2 linked regions of the Pelodiscus sinensis genome follow. The protein of the gene in region 1 binds, or shares a complex with, the protein of each later gene. Links are inferred from orthologs where the notes say so. Each region holds a gene or a part of one and is shown on either strand. Other genes may lie near its edges.

Region 1 (9,573 bases):
ACTTCTGTAAACCTCATTCCATGAGGAATAACACCTCTTCCGAAATTATTATTTCAAAATAGCTGTAGTGAGGACACTCCACTGCTGCCATTTCAAAATAGCTCCTCCCCAGGACCATTCAGTGTAATCACTCCCTAGTGCTTCCTGGGACTAAATCAAGGTAGTGCATCCACATTAGGGGAGCCTGCCTTGGACTAATTTTGAGGCTTTCCTGTAGCGTAGATGCGCTATTTCAAAATAAGCTATTTCGGAGTATTTCTTCCGGAATAGCTTATTCCAAAATAAGTGTGCAGTGTAGACGTACCCTAAGTGAGTAGTTGATTAGTCGACTACCCAATAAGTCTAGGCTTATCAGGTAGTCGAGTCAAATATTTGTTCCCCCCCCCCCCCCCCCCCGCCTTACTGCCTCTGTATCAGATGCAGCAAGCAGGGAGGATGGCGGGGACAGGAGCCTGTGTTGGAAGGAGCCGGCTTAAAAGCCGCTCAGTCCCAACTCACACCAGGTCTGGGACCTACCACTGCTGCACCTCTGCATTTTGAATGTAGTAGAGCCAGGCAGCTCTTACTACATTTAAAATTCAGAGGCGCAGTGGTCCAGGACCTGGCACAAGCTGGGACTGCTCAGTCCTGGCTCGTGCTGGATCTGGGACCTACCCCCACTGTGGCTCTGCATTTTAAATGTACAGCTCTTACTACATTTAAAATGCAGAGCCACAGTGGTCCCGGTCCCAGCTTGCGCCTGGTCCAAGTCCTAGCCCTGCTGTGGCTCTGCAGTTTAAATGTAGCCAGGCTGCCTGTGTGCCTGGCTCCTACTGCATTTAAATTGCAGAGATGCGGTAGAGATAGCTCCTGGATCTGGTGCAAGCCGCAACAGAGCGCCTCCCCTCATCGATTAGCCAATTACCTACACAAATAGCCAATTACCCACTTCTTAACATCCTTACTGAGAATTTCTGATGCACCAGCTTTTTAATCCTTTGGAATAGATACAATCCAGAGTCACTGTCACCCAGACAGTAATTCATTCTGGTAGGGAAACATTTAGGGTTAGTATTAAAAAAAGTGAGTAATTGTAAGAATGGTATATACTTATGACAAGTGGTCAGATTACCTGTGGACAAGTCCAGAGACCTTCCATAAATAAAGGATAAGTGTAACATAACATATGACACAAGCAATAAAGACTGCAATGAGAAATGTAACATGCATCAGACCAGAATGCTTGGTACTTGAGGTTTCAGAAAGGATGTTATACTGTTATTCTTAGTATCCCTACAGCAGGATAGATGGTCCTGACTTTTACAGACAAATCGAGAAGACAAATGCTGACATGTACAGGTTGTAAGCAGCCCCTATAAAGTACTCAGAATTCTCACTGATACAGAAGTCAGTTGGAATTGAAGGCATTGGACACCTTGCAGTAAGTACTCAAAACCACACTTGTCCAGACCCTAAATCCTGTGTACACAGGCATCTCACTTAAATCTACCACTGTTGTTGTAGCACCAGTATGGATCCATTGATGGTAGCCACATGGAAGCACTAATGCTGACCAGTGTTTCCTCAATCTTTTCCATACATGTGTGGATTTTTTTTATATCCATGTGCAGAATAAATATTTGCTATGCACTGAAGCATGTACGAATATGCACCACCAGTAGAAACAAAAAACCCAGTTGTGGGTGCTCTGCTAATCAGCTGTGTGTCAATCTGTCCTGAGTGGCCAGGCAAGCAGGCAGCTTCCAGGGAACACTGGTGCTGACCAGTAGTTCAGTATTCATACTGCAAGCTGGCTTAGACAATGCAGGTGATCAGTGTACAGGAACTTCCACCCATGGTATTACAAAAGTGGTAATGCAACAATGGAAGATATTTAAGATGAGTGCTCATGAGGTCACAGCCTCAATTAGCCAAAATGAATCAAAGGATGACAAATAAAGGGCTGTGTCTGGACAAAACTAGACTACTCCAGAACTGCAACAGTAAGAGACCTTGTGTTCACATCTTTTTGGTTCCTTTTTTTGTTTTAGTAAGTTAAAATGTTATAATGTTAGTTTGAGGAAGTCAGTCCAAAGAGTAGAGGTGGTGGAATTGAGATAAGCTTTGGGAAGCTTGTCAAGAGAAGTGAGCCTGAAGGAGGAATTTGAAGAAAGCAAGTGAGGTGTCATTGAGAAATGTTAAATATTTTATATAGCCAGTGGTTAATATTTCAATATTCACAATCCACAAGTCTATCTCTTCCTTCTGTGTAGTCAGGCCAAACATCCAAGGACGTTCTCAAGGAGCTGTTCGGTGATGTACTGGAGCAATGGGGGGTGGATTATTGTACTCTGGAGAAAAAAATGAAAATGATCAGAATTAGTCAGAATCAATTTGATACATTATGTAGCATGTGTCCAGACATGGGATAACTGTAGATCAGCATCTTTGTAATCCTCTGAACTTTGACATTCAGACTGTGTTATAGAACTAAGTCCAGAATTGGACTCTTAACCATCATGCCCTGTTTAGGGCCAGATCTTGACTGTGGAAATCCTCTAACCGGTAGCTTCATGCTGTCTAGCACTGCCTGAATGTCTTAGAGATCTGTTTTAACGTTAATAGACAATTTAATCACAGAATAATAATTGAGTATTTGAAAAGAGAGAACACAGGTTGATTTGCCCATCACTTTTATAGTTCTGTCACTTCTTGAAATGCATTTTCCTGAGAATGACCTCTAGATAAAGTTATTTTCAGCTGAGAGTAAGGCGGTATAGAGGCTGGTGGGGAAAGAGATGTTATGCTGTTGTTGTTCACCTCTGTTTGCTAAGCTTCAGATTTGTTTATCTATTGCCTTACCCACCTTTCCATGCCAAAGAATGGCCACTGAATAGGTAACAGCCAATAAACTTTTGATGACACCAGGCTAGAGGCATCAACTTGTCATTCATCTTTGAGAAATAGGTTTATTTACTTCACAGACTTGTATGATAAATAACTTCAATTGTGATTTCATCTTATGCTCATAACTTTACATATATTACTGTTACATACATTTTGCCATGATGCTACTAACCAGCAAATTATCACTTTTCAAATGATACCTTCAAGGCATATTTTGTACAAAGATTAGTGTGCAGGGTGTAAATACCAGGGTGCATTCCGTCACATGCATTCATCCAAGAAACAACACATTGTCTACACTTTCTGGTTTACAAAAATTGTATTGATACATTTACTCTTATTTGCATTGATACAATTGAGGGAATGAACTGTCTAGTCCGGCACGCTTGGGACCTGTTCGGTGCCGATCCAGAGAATTTGCCAGACAATGGGAGGTCAATATTGTCTAACAGCATTACCAACACTTCCACTGCTTACCGAGCACTTGGAAGACATTTAAGGGTAAATTAGAGGTAAATAACAGCACAGAACACTGAGAGCCAGGACTGGTGGCTATAAACAAACTTTATGGGACCATGGGAAACTTGGCCACACCCATAGGTGGACATCCAGCTAACTAAAATAATGACGGACCTCAGATGTTGCTGGACTGGGAATACCAAACTAGAGCAGTTCAACCTGTAGCAGGAAAAAAGCAGGGCCATGTTGAAACAAGTCAGAGAAGGAACAATATAAGGGGACTCACATACCATTGTATTTAGTTGGAGTAAGCAGGTTTGATTGTTTGTCACACGAGGAAAAAAAGACAAATGTGAGGGAAATTATTTTTTCTAATTGTGAAGGGATGAACGCATGAAGTGTGTTGATGTATATTAACTTGGTGAAACTGACAGCCAGAAGTCAGTAAATTGTGAAAAGGGTCACAAATCCACTGACACATACGAGACCATTGATTTCCACAGTAATATATTTCCCTGTAAATAACTGATATTTGGTTTCATAATGATCCAGTTGTTCAGATTAGATTTTGTGTATTCTTAACCAGACTCGTCTGTCAGGAAACACTGACTTCTTAACAGGTTATGAAAACTATTTTGCTGGCCTCACATCTTATCAGGATTTTCACTGCATTACATTTTTTTCTTTTAGCCTATCCTTGTTTTCATTTTTGTTGACAGGTATGTCACTATGATGCAGATAGAAGAATCATGAGGCTTCAGTCCATATCTGCATCTGACATGATAGTTACATATTTTTTATTTTTCTGTCTTAGGGTTTAACAATGGTATTTTCAACAAGCTGTGGCCCTTACATATAAGCTGTATATCCTGCTCAATGACAAAATTCTCATTCACTTCAATAGGACCATGATCGGTCCGTATTAGTCTGATAACAGAAAGCGTTGCCTGCAGGAATTAGCAAGTCACAATAAAAAAGAATTGCATGGCACAGATGCTGGTTGTGCAAAGGAAGAAATCCCAGGCTTGTGTTAGGTTTTCACTAATGTGATGCATAAGAAAAAGATCCCATTTAAAATAAATGTGTTGCACTTTTGCCAGAATCTCTGTGATCAGAAGAAGGCAGAATTTTCAAACACAGAAACTGCCTCCTTTGAATATTGTACAGGAAAAAAAGGAACATTTAGGAGTGGACAGAGCAGCACTTTATGGCTGTTGGTAGTGTCTGTTCTTTGTCCACCTAGCATTTTATGGTCTTTTTTCCAGGAAACACACAGGTGGAGAAGTTGAATGTTGTGCCCCAGTTTGATGCTGTAGCCAATACACTTCTGGTAATTAGGCTGCACAGTGAGGATGGCATGAGCATCACAGTCAAAGCAGTGATGCACTTTCATGAGTTCTGTCTTTGAGGTTTTTCTTATGTCTTTCTTCTTTTGTTCAATGAAGCATCATAATCAACACCTTATGTAGAAATTTCCATCTCATAATCTCAAAGTACTTTATAGCCATTAATAAACAACACAACCCCTGTGAGATTGATCAGTATAATTAACACCATCCAACAGATGGGGAAATGGAGGCACAGAGAAAGTAAAGATTTGCCCAATCTCAAGAGGATTCCCTATCCTCTGCTCTAAAAAGCTGATCCAGCTCCTGTTGCAATCAACATTAAGATTTGTATTACCTGCAGTGAGCTAGATCAGCCTGCGACATCCCATTCTCACATACACCTTTGTTGTTTGGTTCTCTCTAATGTAGTATAACTTTAATATTGTGTAATATATTATCTGCAATGAAGAATATTCCAGATAGGAATATAATATATATATATATCAGATTCTAATAGATTATAGCACTTTTAATAGTAACTTCTATCTATAACTCTCCAAATCCTTTACAGACCTTAAGGAATTAAACGTTATGAAACCACACTGAAACTGGCATTATCCCCAAGTGACATACAGAGAAAATGAGTTACGGTACTGAGCAGGCAAGTACCTTGCCCAAAGTCCACAGAAAATCTGTATCAGAGATGGGGAAAGAATCCAGGTTTGTTTACTTCTAGTCCTAATCATAAACCATTCCCCTTCTTTTCCTGATCTGAAAATTCAATTTCTGTTAACATTGCTCGATAGGATTTTACTTTTTTAATATGTTTGTAAAGAACTTCATTAATACATAGGCACAGGTCACACTGTGTCCCGTGGCTACCCTGGGCTGCAGACGGCGAACCGCAGCCAGTGGGAGCCATGAGGCTCTGTGGCTGCAAAGTAAACAAACCAGAGTGGCCCGGTAGAATCTTTCTCAGAATGCTCGGAGGCGCCACAGCACGCAGCCTGGCATCCAAGATGGCCACCTAGATGACGCCAAGGCGGGCGTGCTTGGACGTGTGACGCGGCAACTGCACTCCCCCCCGCCTACCCTGTGCGTGCTGACGTTACAGCACCGAATGGTCCCGTGACCGGAAGCTGGCGCGGGATAGGCGGAAGTGAAAGCAGGGAGGCTGTTTGGCCCCATTAAAGCGGAGTCGAAGGCAGCAGTGGAGGTAGCGAGGCTTGGAGCTCGTGTCGCGGGGCTGCTGAGCGTGGTGAGTGGCCGGCTTGGCGATGTGGGGCTCTCTCCTTCCCTGGGCTGGGTTGTGGCCTGCTGCTCCCCTGGCGGCTCGGGACTTGGGCGGGGGCGAAAGGGGGGGAAGGGTCTGTGGCTTGGCGGAGGTAGCGGGCGCTTGGCGGGGTCTGCGTGGTGGGCAGCTGCTTGGTGGGGGCGGAGAACGTAGGCCCGGCGCTGCGAAGGAGGCTGCTCGCCGGGGCCGGCGGGCGGCAGCTGCTCTCGCAAGTGCCCTGAGGCTGGGGGAGGGAGGAAAAGGCAGCCGGCTCCACCCTAGTCCCCCTGAGGAGGGGGAGGTAGTAGATCCCGGTGTCTGGGACTAAAGCGAGAGGAGGGGCTCTAGGAGGAGGTGGCAGCGGGGCTCCTCCCTTGTTGGAGTAGGAGGGGGAGCGGCTCTGTGAGGAGGGGCCTTTTCTTTCCAGTTGCGGGGACTAAATGGGGTGGGGAGGAGGCGTTGATGGACCCGGAAAATTGTTCCTTTGTGTCTTATCCTGTGCCAGAGAATGGGGCTCTTCCTTGTTAGTGGGATTTGCATCGAGAGCTCACTGAGTTAGGGAGGCATTGTGTGTAAGGATTGGGATGGGTTTAAGATTTTTCTTTCCTCCTGCCCTCATCTATATGTAACAATGATGCTTTCATAATGCTTCAGAGTAGCTAGTAAAAGCTGATGTTTTGAATATAAAGCTTTCCTGGTCGATGTGGATGTTTTCTTCTAAGGAAGAGGCCATTCCTTCAGCCTCTCTAGTTGCCTGTAGTCAGGTGCATTGACCTGATATGAAAATCAGTAAGAGCTCAAGTAGAAATGATAAAGTTTCTGATGGAGATTTGTCACCCACCTTTTGTGCTTGGGTTTATGCAAACTCTGAAGAATGGGGGTGGGTGGGGGGGGGGGGGAGAACAGCTAGAGGCTAGGAATATCCCTAAGTTTTTTTTTTTTTCAGAAAAAACTACTATAATTTGAAATATTATTCAGTGTAATCAGTGGATATAATTAACTTACTAGCAGACTGCACTTAGTCCAGTTAATAACAGGATAACATAGGCAACTGAAAAGACTGGCAGTTATTGCGCAAGTAACTTCTTTGCATGCATAAGGACTGAGTCAGTGGGAAGAATTAAATTTGATGCTAAGATGCTGTAGGCTGTAATCAGCTCTTATGCCTTTAAAAAGGCTAACCATTGCTATCCTGATTAATTAAAAAGCTAAGTTAAGGAGGGATTTCAATATTTTTCTAACTGCTAGCAGAGGTGATGTATTGGTTTAGCTGTATTTTAAAATAGTTCTGATTATACTGACTTCTTACAACCTTGAGGTAAGACATAAACTTGAGTCATAGGCCAAGTTTAATTTTGTCTTTCATGATTCTTCAAAAACTTGTCCTGGTGGAACAGAGCTGCTAAACCTATGAAGGACTGCATGGGCAAACATGTAAATAAACACAAGGTTTTACAAATTCCTCCCAGACAAGCAGGAAGTTCAATGCTAAGATCTGTTTTGTTGCTAACAATTTGGAACATGGGTAACAAATAGTAGCAGTCCACTACTACACCACTCACTACTACACAACTCTTCTGTGCTATGCAAATTGCAAGTCAACATCTTACACCTGATAATATAGATGGGGATTATGAAGTACGTGACCCAGCTTGCTCTACTAGAGTTAGCTGACTTCATTTGTCTGGTTATGGCTTTAACTTGGAATGCCTGTTTGCCACTAAGACCACTAGCATTTAATAAAATAAAAAAAGTCCTGCAGCACCTGAGACTAACAGATGGTATTATGCACTTTTGTGGGCATATCCAAAGCTCATACCATCTGCAGCACCTTAGATAAATAAAAAAAAAACCAATAGTCCTACTTTTTTGTTAAACTTTCAGTTACAGACTGAAGTATTTGATAAAACAGTTTCTTGGCTAATATTCTCCAGGCAGCCATATTGAAGTGCAACTCTTTTATAATCTGGAATGAAGTTTGTTTAAAGTAGGTAGACTACTGTGTTCACTGTTTTTTAAATCTGTGGTTCTATGCCATGCCCTCAGTCAGGAAAAACTCTCATTCTGTCTTTCCCTTGTGACTTCAGCAGCTGACTAAACACATGACTTGCTATCCACAAACTAATAATACTTTGTCTAGATTTGGTGGATCAAGTTCAGAATTCAAAGGGTCTTCATTATGACTTATTTCCTAATGTAATAAATTCTTAGGCATTCAAAGTGTAATCTCAAACTTCTCTTCTACATGTGCTGTTATATTCTAGTACAGAAAGTACAAGATTGGGTTAAACTGTAATTACCAAAATAAGCAGAACTGCTTTCAAGAAGCCCTACAGCAGTACAGTTTTCTCCACTAATCTGCTGCAGAATCTAGTATCTAAAAACCTTCCTAAATTATCAGCTAGGTCAGGAAATGCTTCTCAGACTCAATATAACTGTTTTTGTTTCTAGAGAACTAATCTACAAAGATGCTTAAGGCGGGACAATAGATATTGTAAAGCATGGCTTAAAACACTTGAACTCTAATATAATTGGGCACATTGAGACTGCTCTGAAATACAATTCTAACTAGCTTCTCCATAGCTTTCTTTTTTGGTAAGTCAAAGTGGCTTCTGTTGCTTAAGCCTATTTGCTTTTGGACTGCACTCAAATGTCCAAGGAGAAGAGTGGTTTTGGACTCTGAACTTCAGTAGCAGAACTTATAAGAGTTTCATGCTGTTTGAGATTTACCTGTCAGCAGAATAAATTTATGGGCAAAACATGACTTTGGGGAAGTCCTTTCTTATTCGAAACTATAAGACTGTGCCTCTGTTTTGGGGAAGAGGGGAGTTTTCTAGGGAGAGCTGAACAGTGACTGCAGAATATTTGTAGATAGTTTCACTGCATGGCATTAAACATATTACCCCTGGAGTGGTATAAAAATCCCATTATATAGGGAGCATATAAGATTGCCCACTTCACTACTGTTAAGGCAGTTGATTTGACAATCCCAAATCATTTCAAAGTAGGTGGCCTACAGAGCCTGATCTAAAACAAAAGATTAAGGAACATGGCAAAGGATGCCACCATACTACATGAGAGAATTACTGATCCTCCAGAATGGTAGTGGATTGCTGTGTAGCAGGATGTCAAACTTCAGCCTGTAGTCAAAAGCCCAATCTCTGTAAAATATACACTATTTTAAGAAGGCTGTTCTGGAATCCACTTTGTTAAACTGCACATCTTTAACAAACATACCTTAAGAAAACAGGCCTGGTCAAGATCTTAAAAGTCCAGCATAGCCGTGGCCAACATAGCTGGGTAGGAGGTGGAGAATATGCTGACGTTACATACAGAGTAGCCATAGGTCAGTGGAGACATTTTAGCTAACTGCTTCTGTTGGGGGGAGACTGTCATTTTTTTTCAATGATAGGGTAAACTGAAGGGGTTTTTCCAAACTAGATGGACTATTCTGTAGTAAAAGCAGTCTTTATACTGTAATGTACAATATAGACTTTATCCTAAATAAGGCTGTCTACTTCAGGCTTTATTGGCAAAATTTGGCATCTTATCAATGGGTCACATTACCAGTGGCAGAATTGTTTAAAAAAAAATCTCAGGGCTGTGACTTGCAGAAAGTAACTCTTC
Region 2 (8,606 bases), on another chromosome or scaffold:
TGTAGTGTATGAAAAAGTGGGGTAGGGTTTTCTGTGAAGGGCCTTTGAAAGTGGATACAGTTTGTTGTGGCACCAGGGGAGAGTGGAAAGAGGTGGTTATGCAACTAGCCCTTTGTGGAGGAGAGTTCTGAGCCCTTTCCTGCCTAAGGACATGTCAAAAATCCGCAAAAACTAGTCCAGTAGCATCAAAGACTAGCACACTTATTTGGGCAAAAGGTTTCACGGGCTAAAGACCCGCTTCATCAGACGCACCAGACAAAGTGTGTGGGGGGGTGTCTTTGCCTATGAAAGCATAGGCCCAAATACACCAGTTAGTCTTTAAGATAAATGGTTAGTGGATAAATGGGAATAAATGGTCAGTGTTCAGAATGAAAAGAGATAACTAGTGGTGTCCAATCCTATTGAACACATTCATAAATGGCCTGGAGAAGGGGGCAAACGTGGCAAAATTTGCAAATGAAACAACCTACTCACGACAGTTGAGGCTGTGAAGAACTTCAAAAGGATCTCACTTATGACTAGGCAATAAAATGGCAGATTAATTTTACCTGTTATCACTCGAGAGAGATGTTAGACATTGTGGATAGTTTTGAGAATATCCATAGCACCTGTCAAAAACAAATCAAAAGGATAGAGAATCAGACAAATATCTTATTGCTTCTATATCAATTGATGGTATTCCCACATCTTGAATACTGTGTGCACTGTAGTAGTCACTCAGGATTTATTGGTGTGATGTCCTGACAGGTCTCCTGCTCCCTAGATGATAATCATTTGGCTGCATGTGTTGACTTGTGCAAGTAGTTAACACAGCTGACTCCAAGAGAGCCCCCAAAATCAGATGATTGAAGGTGCAGGGCCAGGTTTATTGTCAAAGTACAGTAATAGTTGGCAGTAGACTCTACCCAACCACAATACCTATATACTCCCCTGACAATGGACATGGCTCAGTGTCATGAGAATCTATCACTGCCCCTTAGGCCGGACAAAGACAGCCCTGCCAAGACACCACTTTATATATAAAAACAACAAATGGTCTGGTAGCACTTTATAGACTAACAAAACATGTAGATGGTATTATGAGCTTTCGTGGGCACAGCCCACTTCTTCGGATGACCGGAGTTATGAGTTTAGGATGTGTACACCCAAAATAAATAGGAGAGGGGAAGTGAAGGGGAGAGTGAAGAAAAAGGGAGGAGGGTGGGAGACAGAATCAGTAAGTATCTGAAGATTGGCTAGTTAAACTGAAGCAGATAAGAATCAAAGTCAATAGATAGACTCCCATGTCAGGAAGGATACTACACAGAGTTGTCTGCACCTTCAATGGCTGTTAAATTGGTAGTGTTCCAACCGACTTTCATCACAATTGAGTCCATTAGCATGTGAATTGCATTGTGGATGAATTGTAATTCCAATGTGCTACCACGTAGTCTATGAAGTGCTACCAGACCATTTGTTGTTTTTTCCTGTAACAGACTAACTTGGCTACCCCCTGAAGCTTCGGTTACAAACAAGTTACTCATCTCTCCCACCCTTTGAGGTTTCCACCATTTGATAGTACTTAGATACCACCCATCACCCTGCACCTTGTGGTTCAATTAGAACATCTCTATCCAACATGCTGTCATTTTCTGGACCTTTCCTGGACCTGGGGTTGGTATTTGTGGGGAGTGTAGAGACCAAGGTTATTTTTAATGAGCTGATGTTACCATCTTTTTGGAATATGCTTTCAGCTTATGACCAGTACCAATTGCTGTTATAGCCGGTACCTAGTACCAGTTACGATTCTACGTCTGTGCCTATTACCAATTAGTGTTTTACACACTCAGCCCTGTTCAGGCCAAGTTCTGTGAGCAAGGGCCTGCCTCTTGGTCACAGGTTAGCTTTGCTTTAACAATACTCAAGACTTTACTAATATAGGTAAGTCTCAGGCCTCAAATCAGACCTGTGCTACATGGGCTTTTGTTTGTCCTTTATCTTACTATCTCAAAAAAGATATCTCGGCATTAGAAAAAGTTCAGAAAGGGGCAAGATAAATGATTAGGAGTATCTCTTGCCATTTGAGAGGAAATTAATAAGATAGAAAGTCCCAATCTTGGAAAAGAGATGACCAAGGGGAGATACAACAAAGATGTATAAAATCATGACTAGTGTGAAGAAAGTAAATAAAAGTTATTTACTTGTTTTAAGAACTAGGGGTTACAAAATGAAATTAACAGGTAATAGGTTCAAAACAAAAGGAAGTATTTCCTCACACAGAAAAGTCAATCTGTGGCACTTCCTGCCAGAAGAAGGCCAAGACTGTAACGGTTCAAAGAACTAGATAATTTCATGGACGTTGGGCCCATCAATGGCTGTTAGCCAGGCTGGGCAGGGAGGGTGTCCCTGGTCTCTGTTTGTCAGGGGTAGGAATAGGCAACAGGAGGGATCCTGTGATGATTCCCTGTTCTGTTCACTCCCTCTGGGACACTGTGGGCAGGCAGGACACTGGACTTGATGGACCTTGGGCCTGGTTATTCTTATGTTGAGTGGCCTGAGGGCTACGATGACTCACTGGCTGCCCAGCTGAGATGTTAGTGTGAGGTGCTCAGCCCCACTGGGAACAGCCCTCCCCTTCGGCCTGGGGGTGAAGCTTGGGGCCTGCCTCCACCAGCCTCTGGGCTGGGTCTCTGCCCTTCCACTCTGTTGCCCCTTGTGAGCCCAGGGCCATTTAAAATAGCCCCTTAGCAAGGGAGCGGGGGACAGTCTCAGAGCACCCTGCCTCCCCCTTAGTGTTGCCTTAAAGAGCCCCACGCCCCCAGCCCTTAGCGCCGCCTCAGCGTGCCCTACCCCCCGGCCCTTAGCGCCACCTCAGAGTGTTCTGACCCCCGGCCCTTAGCGCCACCTCAGAGCGCCCTGCCCCCCAGCCCTTAGCGCTGCCCCCCAGCCCTTAGCGCCACCTCTGAGTGTTCTGACCCCCGGCCCATAGCGCCACCTCAGAGCGCCCCGCCCCCCAGCCCTTAGCGCCGCCTCAGAGCGCCCCGCCCCCCAGCCCTTAGCGCCACCTCAGAGTGTTCTGCCCCCCCCAGCCCTTAGCGCCACCTCAGAGCGCCCCGCCCCCCCCGGCCCTTAGCGCCACCTCAGAGCGCCCCGCCCCCTCAGCCCTTAGCGCCACCTCTGAGTGTTCTGACCCCCGGCCCTTAGCGCCACCTCAGAGCGCCCCGCCCCCCAGCCCTTAGCGCCACCTCTGAGTGTTCTGACCCCCAGCCCTTAGCGCCGCCTCAGAGCGCCCCGCCCCCCAGCCCTTAGCGCCACCTCAGCGTGCCGTGCCCCCCAGCCCTTAGCGCCACCTCTGAGTGTTCTGACCCCCAGCCCTTAGCGCCACCTCAGCGCGCCCTGCCCCCCCTGCCCTTAGCGCCACCTCAGAGCGTCCCACCCCCCCCCGCCCTTAGTGCCACCTCAGAGTGTCCCACCCCCCCCGCCCTTAGTGCCACCTCAGAGCGTCCCGCCCCCCAGCCCTTAGCGCCACCTCAGAGCGTCCCGCCCCCCCCGCCCTTAGCGCCACCTCAGAGCGTCCCGCCCCCCCCCGCCCTTAGTGCCACCTCAGAGCGTCCCACCCCCCCCCGCCCTTAGTGCCAGCTCAGAGCGTCCCGCCCCCCCTGCCCTTAGTGCCAGCTCAGAGCGTCCCGCCCCCCCTGCCCTTAGTGCCAGCTCAGAGCGTCCCGCCCCCCCTGCCCTTAGTGCCAGCTCAGAGCGTCCCGCCCCCCCAGCCCTTAGCGCCGCCTCAGAGCGTCCCGCCCCCCCGGCCCTTAGCGCCACCTCAGAGCGCCCCGCCCCCCCCGGCCCTTAGCGCCACCTCAGAGCGCCCCGCCCCCCCCCGGCCCTTAGCGCCACCTCAGAGCGTCCCGCCCCCCAGCCCTTAGCGCCGCCTCAGAGCGCCCCGCCCCCCAGCCCTTAGCGCCGCCTCAGAGCGCCCCGCCCCCCCGGCCCTTAGTGCCGCCTCAGAGCGCCCCGCCCCCCAGCCCTTAGCGCCGCCTCAGAGCGCCCCCCCCGCCCTTAGCGCCGCCTCAGAGCGTCCCGCCCCCCCCCGCCCTTAGCGCCGCCTCAGAGCGTCCCGCCCCCCCCCGCCCTTAGCGCCGCCTCAGAGCGTCCCGCCCCCCCGGCCCTTAGCGCCACCTCAGAGTGTTCTGACCCCCGGCCCTTAGCGCCGCCTCAGAGCGCCCCGCCCCCCCGGCCCTTAGCGCCGCCTCAGAGCGCCCCGCCCCCCGGCCCTTAGCGCTGCCTCAGAGCGTCCCGCCCCCCCGGCCCTTAGCGCCACCTCAGAGTGTTCTGACCCCCGGCCCTTAGCGCCGCCTCAGAGCGCCCCGCCCCCCCGGCCCTTAGCGCCGCCTCAGAGCGCCCCGCCCCCCGGCCCTTAGCGCTGCCTCAGAGCGCCCCGCCCCCCCGGCCCTTAGCGCCGCCTCAGAGCGCCCCGCCCCCCAGCCCTTAGCGCCGTCTCAGAGCGCCCCGCCCTCAGGCTGTGGGCCAATCACGCTGGGGGTGGGGGTGGGGTCTACGCGCGGTGCCCCGCCCCTGCGGCCAATGGGAGCTGCGGGCAGCAGCGCGCGGAGTCCCCGCCCCCCGCCGAGGAGCTGCCAGAGGCGCGTGCAGGAGCAGACCCGCCCACCCCGCGGCCGAGGGGGCCGGGCGCGTGCGCGGCGCTGGGCGGGAGGCGGCGCGCGCCATGGCGGAGCGGCTGCCGCGGCCCGGGCGCCTGGCCCCGGAGCGCGTGTACCGCCTGGCCGGGGCGCTGGGCGCCGAGCTGCAGCGGCTGTCGGGGCGCTTCGGGCCCGAGGCGGTGGCTGGGCTGGTGCCGCAGGTGGTGCGGCTGCTCGAGCTGCTGGAGGCGCTGGCGGGGCCGCCCGCGGCCGAGCCCGGCCCCGAGCCCGGCTGCCAAGACCCGGCCGAGGCGCTGCTGCGCACGGTGCAGAGCCTGAGGCGGCGCGAGGAGCCCGCGGCCCCCGCCGGGGAGGTGAGGGGGGTCTGGGGGGCGGGGCAGAGACGGGGGGGAAGGAGGGTGGGGGGGAGACTGGGGGGTCGGGACTGGGAGCTCAGGGGCGGGGTTGGGGTCTTTGGGGGCGGGGGGTAGGTTGGAGTCTTGGGGGAGGGGGCTGTGGGGGGAGGGGCGGGGGCTCTGGGGGCAGGGTTGGGGGCTCTGGGAGGTTGCCCTGGCAGCCAGTGCGCAGGCTAGGCAGTGTCATGCCATGGCTGCTCTCCGAGGAACTGAGTCCACCTGACCCCAAGCCCAAGAGGCTCTTGTGGGGTAAAGGGCAGAGCGTCTGGGGTGGGCAGGGCTCTGATCTCACTGGTGCCTTTTTTGCAGGCACTGCAGCAGAAGCTGGCGGAGGCCTGGAGGAAAGAACATGTTCTCCAACACCGGCTGGCCCAGCTAGAAGAGGAAAACCACAAGCTCCTGGCACAGCTGGCGGAGAGCCAGTCCCAGGAAGGTAGGTGTCCCTGGGGAAGCTGTTGCTGAATCCCTGCCAGCTTCTGAGTGCCGGGAAGTTCACTCAGTGAGGCTAGGCTGCAGTGTATCTGGCTTACAGCCCACTGTCATCCTTGGGATGCTCTGCTTATATCTGGAGGAATAAACCTTTATTCTGATATCTGAGCACGTGCACATTCTATGTAATACCACCACCCTGTCTCTGAGGCATCTCACTTGATGAGACTGGGGGACTGAGGCCCAGGGTAAGGCTGTATATACTAGGGACCTCAGTTCAGCTGCACAGGTGTAAGCACTGTAGAGCTCTGAACTAGGCAGTGTGTGGTAGCTTCTAGTACGTTTAATTAGAAGCTTTGTTTATATTGGGGCTCCCAGAGGTGCTAGTAGAGTGTGATGACTTCCCCCCCCCAGGGTGCCATCTGGTGCCCCACTTCCCCAGCCCAACAGCCTAGGTTCCCACACTCACTGTACTGCTGTGATAAGCTGCTGTGCCCTCCAGCCTGCACTTTTGCCAGCGTGCATACAGTAGAAGGACACCCAGCTGCAGTTACATGCAGGCTCTCTGAGCAGCCTCTGCATAGGAATGCTACAGCTAAGGCAACAGCCAGCTTTTCAGACACAAAGCCGCTCTGAAGTATGAACCCACAAGGACATTGGCTTGCTCTGCACAGGGCAAGCTCATAGAATTCCCTCCCTCCCTCAGGGCAGTGGCATCTGCAGCAGTCTTTTGCCCCCAAGTTATGATTCCCACACTCTGCTTTAGGTAAAGCAAAACCAAGTTTATTAACTGCAGAAGATCAAAGCAGATTACCTAGCAAATAAACCAAAAACACAAACTAAATTTAAAAATGTTTCCAGGCGTTGTCTTGTGTGGGGTGCAGAGAACAACCAGATGATGTCACTCCATATATGTTTTTGCATGTGGTGGCAACCCTTTGTTTTAAAGCTTGGTTCCCAGACCAGTCTGTGGAGAAACACTGATATCCCAAGGTGGAGTCAACAGACATGTGGTCACATCATATGTCTTTGTGGGGTCATAGCAGCCATTTATAGTTTCTGTTTTGGAATTTTACACTTATCCATACTAGTTTGTTTCAGTTGCATCTTTCAGTGTCAGTGGTTGATTGTATTTCCTTTGGTAAAGCACCTTTCATGTGATCAGGGAGTCTAGTAATTGAGTAAGACTCTAAACTAAGAATTTGAACTAACCAACTTCTAAAATTATAAGTTAAAAGAAGAAGTAGAGTAATAGTACAAGAGGAAGCAGCCACCTGTATGATCTAACAGAGGGCTTCCTTCTCTATTGCCACATGCTTGAAACTTAGAGTCCCGGGGATGGTGGTTTGACGGACCAGGCAGGTCTGGGCACAGCTGAGGGCGTCCGCTCAGGGCAAATTGCTCAAATTTGGGGCTCCTTACAGCCCCCAGAATGGAGACCTTCCCAAACAGGCCACAAACCAGTCCCACATAGCGCTTCAGCTGCCTGCCTGAAGCCTCATGAGCAAAACCCCTCTGAGACACCAGCAATATCTGTGTCCCAGATGGCCCTGAACCTCATACACAGGTGAGGGGGTCTTAGAACCCAATCTCACCTACCCCGAACAAGTTCTGTCTGGTTCCAAAAAACCAGCCACAGATCCCAGGTCAATTTACCCTCTGGACCTTACCCACAAGCCACGCTGAGCCAACCCTTTAGAATCTACCATCTAAAGAGTTTATTACTATGAGAACGAAAAGCACGAGAATGAGGTTGTTAAAGTATCATACGTTACATGCATCGAATCGCCCAGTTCTCGATGCAGGCTCTAGCAGAGATGTTATAGCTGCTGGATTAAAAGTCCTTGTTGCACATCCTAGGTCAGGATGGGTCCACAGGTCTTCCTGGCTCGTGATCCCCTGCAAGGCTGCATCTGGTGTCAGGAGCAGATCTAAGTCCAGCACGGAGTCGACCACATGGCCTGTTTATACCTCCTCCCTGATTTCTTCCAAGCTGGAGGGAGTCACATGGCCAGTGGCCAGGTGTGTCTTTGGCCTTCAGAGGCCCATTGTTCCCTGGAGCTTCGCTCATTAGCATGTCCATAGGCAATAATTCCTAGCCCATTATTCAAGCACATTCAGAGAGATTCCAGTCTCCATACAGAGTACAGACCCCTAACTCCACACACAGACATTATACAGATCTATGAAGAGCAGATACAGAATCAGAAGAAAGTAGCTTTTGTTTGACCCCTCACATGGCCCCTTTGTACCACTTTTGGGGCAAACACCCCCCATGGATGCAGCAGTGACCCGGCTGCTCCCCTCACAATCCCATAACGTGACAGGTGGTTGTTACTACCAAATTGGAACTTGTGAAAGCTAATTGGATTAGTATCCCACTATGCCTGAATGCACAGTAAGAGATGGTTCCTGCTCCAAAGAGTTTACATCTTACAGAAGTAATAAATGTGTTTAAAGAAAGAGAGGACAAGGGTTACTAAGAGGGAGAAGTTGTGTGGGCTGGCTGCATACATAGCTGTCAAGCTTAACAGAAGTAAGCAAGAGGCCTTAGTGATGTCATCCCTGATGTTCACTACTTGGTTAGGATGAGGAGGAGTTGGCAATGTGACATGGCAGAAGAACAGTGAGTGTTGTGTGAGGAGGAGGGGATGGTCCTGCTCTGCACCGCCAGGTAGTGAGTAGAAGGGCATGGGCTCGTGTCAGAAAAAGATGGAGGTTGAGAGAGAATAGGCTAGGAGAGAAGCAGCTCTTAGGAGTTAGATCTGTGCAACATGGAGATGCACGAAGGCTGCATTCAGGATGGTGGTTGAGGGTAGTGCAAGGAGCAATGGGAGGAAATAAGGGGGAAACATTCGGATAATGTCAACAAGGTGTATACCCGGTGAGGGGGTGATCGGAGAGTCTGGGAGGGCTGGATTCTGTAAATTGGTTATTTAACCGGGCAATGCCAATAACGTCAGCTCCCGAAGGGGAGGTTGAAGAAGTTGCTGAGGCTGTGGTCACAGCTTAGTTGTCATTTCACAGTGGGGCTTGAGTAAAAAATGTGACTTCTGCCTTCACTGGATGGTGATGCATGGTGTGGGAGCAGTTTGGCTCCTCATAGGGATGAGATGAGGGAATGGGGTAAGGGTGCTTTGGCTTG

Evidence for each region.
Region 2: the proteins of RAB7A (region 1) and RILP are in contact, whole or in part, in a crystal structure (PDB 1YHN), measured with the Homo sapiens proteins. The link is inferred for Pelodiscus sinensis from reciprocal best matches to the Homo sapiens genes RAB7A and RILP. Residues at the interface, in NP_004628.4 of Homo sapiens: Ser3, Lys6, Leu8, Ile41, Gly42, Ala43, Asp44, Phe45, Leu46, Thr47, Thr58, Trp62, Ser72, Leu73, Val75, Leu182, Tyr183, Asn184, Glu185; in NP_113618.2 of Homo sapiens: Phe248, Glu249, Leu252, Gln253, Arg255, Asn256, Lys259, Ala260, Phe263, Leu264, Glu267, Glu268, Tyr271, Arg274, Glu275.

What each region holds. Positions count from the first base shown.
Region 1 is NC_134721.1:25,507,614-25,517,186, forward strand, and holds the start of RAB7A (ras-related protein Rab-7a), read left to right. Parts: upstream 1-5,785; 5' UTR 5,786-5,931; intron 5,932-9,573.
Region 2 is NC_134731.1:1,044,175-1,052,780, forward strand, and holds the start of RILP (rab-interacting lysosomal protein), read left to right. Parts: upstream 1-4,598; 5' UTR 4,599-4,702; coding exon 4,703-4,990; intron 4,991-5,341; coding exon 5,342-5,465; intron 5,466-8,606. UniProt on the Homo sapiens protein: Rab effector playing a role in late endocytic transport to degradative compartments. Involved in the regulation of lysosomal morphology and distribution.